Caenorhabditis elegans: one gene and its partner. The protein of the gene in region 2 interacts with the protein of the main gene of each other region in a pairwise test. Each region holds a gene or a part of one and is shown on either strand. Other genes may lie near its edges. The genes, in order: rmd-3 and Y106G6H.13.

Evidence for each region.
Region 1: the proteins of Y106G6H.13 (region 2) and rmd-3 interact in a two-hybrid assay, tested with the Caenorhabditis elegans proteins (one large-scale study listed by BioGRID).

What each region holds. Positions count from the first base shown.
Region 1 is NC_003280.10:11,337,943-11,341,547, forward strand, and holds rmd-3 (Regulator of microtubule dynamics protein 1), read right to left. Parts: upstream 1,666-3,605; 5' UTR 1,641-1,665; coding exon 1,638-1,640; intron 1,589-1,637; coding exon 1,520-1,588; intron 1,261-1,519; coding exon 760-1,260; intron 713-759; coding exon 608-712; 3' UTR 509-607; downstream 1-508. Other genes in the region: lgc-20 (Neurotransmitter-gated ion-channel ligand-binding domain-containing protein), read right to left, coding at 2,349-2,456, 2,506-2,640, 2,682-2,809, 3,327-3,462, 3,512-3,605.
Region 2 is NC_003279.8:10,469,463-10,472,612, forward strand, and holds Y106G6H.13 (Reverse transcriptase domain-containing protein), read left to right. Parts: upstream 1-2,048; coding exon 2,049-2,465; downstream 2,466-3,150. Other genes in the region: duo-3 (ubiquitinyl hydrolase 1), read right to left, coding at 3-218, 273-560, 896-974, 1,024-1,118, 1,365-1,594; Y106G6H.14 (Osteoclast-stimulating factor 1), read right to left, coding at 2,844-2,942, 2,991-3,125.

The DNA of each region.
Region 1 (3,605 bases), on a different chromosome or scaffold from region 2:
GACGATAAAAGACTGGATAAGAACGGGAGATAAGGAGTACGGATGTAGGTGAGGAATGTGGCCGAAAGGACAGATGGGCTTTATTCGGGAAGATTGGTTGGGAAATGAACCAGAGAAGAATGACTGAATAAAGTTGTTGAAACTTGGTGAGAATGGAAGATAGACAATCGAGGGCAGAGTTGGTTGAAAACTATGATGGCTCATCAGTAGATTTGAAGGCAAAATGGGCTTTCTTCGAGTATCGTTAAAATCCAATGAATCAGATTGGAACGATAACGCAGATACAAAAGATAATTAATCTGAAATTGTTAAATAAAGTATCATAATTTATACTTGTTACTTCAGATGGCAAGTTTGGAAACCTTAAGCTATTGGCAAATGTTGAAACATTCATCTGCTTCGAAGAGAACATTTTAAAATATTCGAAAGTGGAAAAGGTTAATCCTGAAAGTGAATGTGCTGCCATCCTTGTTAACATTATGATTCTTTGCATGCCAACCCAGTAAATCTTTTAAACTTTTTATTCTCTACATTTCTACAATACTACAACGCATTTGTGCACGTTATTTAAATATTCTGGCTCGACTTGTCATGTGGAAGCTGAAGCCTAAAGCTTCGACAACATCTGCTTCGCATCATCGGCAAACTCCTGCTCAGCGTCCGAATACGGCTCGATGTCGCAAACTTCAGTGAGATACTTGCGAGCGTTGGCCTGGAATTATTAACTATTTTTTAGAAATTTGCATGAAGCTTCCTTACCTTGTCTTTAATAGCCACGTAGCATTTGGACACGTAGAAAGTGTTCTCCATCCACTTCGGATTGACCTTGTAAGCAGCAAGGAAATCCTCGTTGGCCTCCTCATACGAATGCGATGGTGGTTGCTGATAGAAAGTGGCAGCAAGCTTCTTCTCGAGCCATGTCAGAGACGCCACCGAGTACTTATAACGGCCACGCAAATGGAGAACAGCTGTGTCCTTTGGCTCCTTGGCAAGAGTTTTGTCGAGCAATTCCTTGAACTTCTTACTGCATTCCAACTTTTCCTTGGTTGCCATGTATTCGGTTGCTTGTCCAGTCAACACTGCATTCCACTTCAATGCCTTGAAATGGTTTGGATCCTTCTGGACAGCTTCTTCGGCAAACTTGAGTCCTTCAGTGACACTTGCCTTGCGTTGAGCTTTTGGAACACAAGCTGACTTCTCATGAATCACTTGAGCAAGTCTCCACAAGACTTCCACCGAACGATCGCCTTTGTCGAGACGCTGAAAATAGAAAGAGATGAACAATGAAACTATATTCTTTATAACATCTCTTAAGGCTCTCATGTAGGCGGCAAAGCGCCTGTCTGTCTGGCCTTCGCCTGCCTGCACGTGAACTTCTTTTTTATTTCGTGATTAGACATTCATCAAAACGAGTGGAATCACAAAATTAGAACTATGTGAATTCACGTGGCAGGCAGGTTAAAGGCAGGCCCATGTGCTTATCATGGGAGCCTTAATATCTTCCATATCTAAAACTTACCGCTTTGAGCAAATCATATCCTTGATCACGGTTTTTGGTTCCGAAGGTCTTGTCAATTTCATCAAAATTCTGAAAAAAAAAACGATGAAATTTTTTTTTGAAACTCGATAGAACTTACCATGGTGTGGTTGATCGGTGTTGATTAACAACGGGAAATAATTGATTTGGAAGTTCAAGAAGGGGTGGAGTCTGTGGAATGCCACGTTGCAAGAATTAGGGAATAGGGAGGCCACGGTTTTTCAAAAATTTGATTATTTGAAATTTTTATTGGAAAATAAATTAAATCCTTTCAAGTTTTTTTAGCGTGAAATATTAAGGAATTAAAATAAAATGCAAATTGGCAAAAACAAAGCTCGATAATTAGGTAACTGGAAAATTGCACCTTTCAGGGTTTTTAAGAATTTTTTCAATGAATTAAAAATTACTTTCTATATTTTTTTGACCAACTTTTGATTTAAAAAAGTGTTGAAACATTTTGTAGAATTGCTGAAAATATGTAAGTCCAAAGATAAGTGCTTCGTGCAAAAGTCTTCGACACTACCGTACTCCCATGGCTCTGAAGCCGGAACTTGATTGTGTGTATCAGACTATGAAAAAAATTATTTTAAAAATTTTATCGCAAAAAATATTACAGATACGTAGGCATCACAATGGGACAGAAATTTCCGGTACGGGAGAGAATGGAAAGTTTGTATAAATCAAGTTTGAAGTATAAAAATAAGGCGTGGAAAACAGGACAGATTGACAGATTTTTTTACAGTGCGTAGGCTCAGGTGGTGAACAAAAAAATTTTAAAATGATGATAAGCAAGTTTAAAACTTTCCGCGTTCTAAAAGAATTCCAAGAAAGTCATGAAGAGAAAAACGGAGAACATCAAAGCCGAGAACATGTTGTTCATAGCCAAATAGATGTGCCGCCAATCCTGAGTGTAGTCGAGCTGAAACAATAATTTATAAGTTTCCAAATATTCAGGACCTAAGTTCTACCTCGGCGCCAGGTCTTATCACCGACTGCTGCTGACTAACCTCGCTTGTAGTTCGGCTTTCCGGAGTGTCCTCTTCCACGTAGCGATGATAAGCATCACTTCTTTCCGGCTCAATACAGCATACAACTCGGTTTATCTGAAGATTCTTGTTAGATTTTGAGTTAGGGAAGCGCTTACCAATTTCGCTGAAAGGAATAGCCGATGAGATGGTGGGACGTTTCGTTTGACACGACTGAGAGCCATAACTACAAGCGTTACCAGAATGCTCATAAAGCTGATTGTAAAGATCAGTTCGTAGAAAATGTCTGAAAAGAAATTTCCAGACTTTTATTTTGGTGATGTTTTACTGGCTACTACAGAATATATTGAAGATAATTCTACAGTACTCCACCCGGGTTGGTTCTTCAGAAACCTTTCCGTATTTTCCCTATCCAACTTGCACCCCAATTGCTCTACTTTGATGGCTTATATCTTGGTTGTCATAAGTTTTATCAAAAAATATTTAACTATAAAAATGTAGAGAAGAATTTTTCCCGTCCTTTGTTAGTTGAGCATTTTTTGATAAAATTAAAGACAACCGAGATATAAGCCGTCAAAGTAGAACAAGGTAGAGAAAGTCTAATTGGGAAAGGTACGGCACTTCATTTTTATTGTGCGAGCTAGCAATTTTTCAACTATTCCTTACAATTTGTGAGCTTCAAAAGTTTCATGGGGGCAGTCACAAAAATATCTGACCGTCTTTAAGGCTGAATTTGCCTAACTTGTGCCTACTGCCTGATATCTCAAGTCAGAGAATTAAAGTTTTGAATCAAAAAACCTTACAAATTCGTGGTCTGACTCCAAGAAAACCGTTCAATGGAGTTATGGTGCAAAGGTAGAGAAAGCATAATGTTTGAATATGGAGGGAGAAGAGCTTCACATAGATTTGTGTGCGAAGATCTCCGAAGAGAGGTGAGGCCTGCAAATTTTAGTTTAATTCCTAGAATACTTCCTTCGCATCCACTCACCAGCATCACATATGTCGCCAGCGTAACCGGGAATAAAAGAGCAACACGGACAGTGCTCATCTGCTTTTCAGCTCGAACACAAACTTGCATAACT
Region 2 (3,150 bases):
ACCGCCTGTTTGGATATTTGACTTCTTGATTCCAATATGATGGCGTTTCACGTGCCGGTGTCTCCCGTTTCGGTGTTTCTCGAGAATAAGAATAAGAAGCAGTACTTTTAGAAGTCGACGGTGTTGCAACGAAATTCTTTTTGATAGGCGGTGGAGATTTGATATCTTCTGGACTTTTCAGATTTTCGAGTTTTAAATTCTTGGGAGTTGATGAAAATCTGAAAAAAATAAAGAGAATTACAACAATTTTGAGAATAAAATAAATATCATACGTTTTTGTGGGAGTTGTCTTGTAGAATGGAGACGTTTCCTTTGGCTTTGGGGATGAGGAAAATATCGATGATTTCGGAGAAAGCAACTCCCTCGAGCAGTTTTTCAGGTTAATTTGTGGTTTTATGACGAAAGATATCTTCGAACGATCCATTTGGTTAGTTGGAGTGTGTTTTGGTGTTGAAGAAGCGTATGGAGAAGGAGTCAGCGTATGTTGAAGATTTACCATCTTTTTCTGTTGATAATCAGCTGATTGTTTCCTCTGTAGATAGTTTTCCAAGTCTTCAGAACTGAAAATAATAATAAAGTTTAGTTTTTTTTTTAATTTATTTAGGCTGAATAAAAAACATCATGAGTTTGTTTGATAATCCTGAAAATCACCTAATTTCGGCGTACTGAAATTTGAAACAATATATTTAATCAAAAATTAGTTTAATTAAAGAATATAAAATTCACCTGAGAATGCATCTAAATTAAGTTTTAAATGTATCTCGGCTCTAATTTTTAATTAAATAAATTAAAATATGCCACGATAGAGTATTTTATTGAACTGCCATGTTCCTTACTACTACACAAAGCTGCCGTATCCCATGGAGACGTGCGTAGCAGGACATTCTCAACTTACTTTTTTCCATGATCAGCGGAATTGCTGCTTTTGTTGGAGGAGAAAGTTGCAAGATTCCGTTTTTTTGGATGTTCCATTACTGAAATATTTATTGTTTATTTTTTTAATAGCCATACAATTTAATTTACCATCTTTATTGGCTTCAATCATTTTATTAAACTGATTTACAACCCATCCCATGTGCCTGTGAGCATCGTGGCTTGTGAATTCAAGTTTGATATAACTGAAAATTATATTTATTAATTGAGAGTGTGATTTTAAGTTTGAGATTATTACTAATTTTCACTTTAAACAGAAATTCTGGAATATTTGTAAATTGGCAAGAAATTATCGAAAATTAAAGAGAAGTATCTTTACAATGGTATTTTATAGATATAGCAGGCCGCAAAAATGTTTTTTGTAGAATTTCAATTCTAAAGGAGCGATTTTTTTAAAAATATGATATTTCATTTAAAAAAAATTAAATCACCTTTCTTCGCACTGTTTATTCAACTCAATGTTCAACAATTTGGCTCCCGTATGTGAATTATCCGCTATCGGCTTGTACATCATTTGTGTATAGTAATACTCTTTGTCTCCTCCTCCGGGACACCTGAATCTGATAGAATCCGATGTGAATTCGATTTGTCTCTTCAACATTCTTATAGGTGTGATGCGAGGTCTTGTGATGGTCACGTCAATAAAGAAGTTTTCCAGCATCTGAAAACAGGATATTTAAATATATTTTAACGTTGAAATTTGAAACAAAAGCAAAATAGTAATTATTATACATACGTGACATTCTAATTGCTTATCAATAAAACTAATCTGGCAAAAAAAATCTCCCCTCCCGTGAAGTGAAATCGAAAATCAAATTATTTCGATTTTAGTCCAACCCTAGGAACACATTTCGATTCGCATCAAGTAAGTGCTTTAACAGGAAATTCTGTGAAGGCAAGCGGTAGCTGAGATCAGTGGCAAGAAGAATTTCTTTAGAACATCCTAAAGAGCTGCTGAAACTCTTTGACTGAAATTTTGTGATGTGCTGGTAGGAGATTCTTCTAGCCACTGCTATTTTCTAACATTTATTTCTTCTTGATATTCCACTATAATCGGAATCTCCTATCTAATATTCATTTAAAAAAATGAATAAGTATTTTGCAGCTCACTCAAGATGGCATACGTCGAGAGCTTCTACATGGATGCTAGTTTGGAGAGCGACGCCGACGTTCTTCCAGCATCGGAGAGTGATATGTTTGAGGCACAATTCATTGCCGATGTCCCACTCGACGGCGACGCGATCATTCGTATCGTTGATTCACAACTCGCTTTTGAGCAACGCAACCACGTTGTGTCGGACTATTGCACCATGAAGGCCGCGGAGCTCGAGAAGAACCCGAATCAACTGACAATGAACAGCTCAGTTATGGACAATCAGCAATATTTTGCCCCGCCAAAAAGTGAATCGTCGCAATATGCATGGAACACGAATGATGTTGTCTCTTCTCATCATCAATATGCTGCTCAGAGCCCAAACATCTACACCAACGACTATCACACCAGTGAACCATCCGATTATGCCTATATATAACTTGATGGAATGAGTAAACATTTGTATTTTGGGTTTCTGTATTTACTCGTTATTCAGCCGCAAAATTAGAGAAATCTAGACTTTCGCGACGAGACCCAGCTTATCTATTTCAAGGTGGTCGTAGAATCGTTTAATTTAAGACTTCTCAATCCCTATTCACACATTAAAAAGCAAAACTACGATACTTGAATAGCATTAGTTCTGAAATAGAAAGATTAAAAGTAAAGAAAACCTCGATTCAAACGAGTATTTGAAAAAGGAGAATAGAGGGAAAAAAAAGTTTATCACAGGTTGGGCAAAGTTTCAATAAATATCGACAAGTGTTTGAGAAATAATTACAAGATGTCAAAAGGAATAAATATTGCAAATTTAATAGTCTTAATCAGCATCCGAGTCTGACAAATATTCAGCATACTCTTCTTCATTCACACGATCCTCTTTCATTGCTTTGTCTAGAAGAGCAGCGATATCAGCATCCTGGAATTATTTTTTCTATAGAAAACTTCTATAAAAAACAATATTTACTTTTGTCACATCACTCGGCAGCTTTTGATCTTGATTCCTTACAAATGGATTGGCTGACGAAGCGAGAAGAAGTCTCACACATTCCACGTGGCCTTTGTAGGCCGCTGCATGAAGAGGCGTATCACCGAGTTTGTTCTGAAAATTTAATTTTTAGAGATTC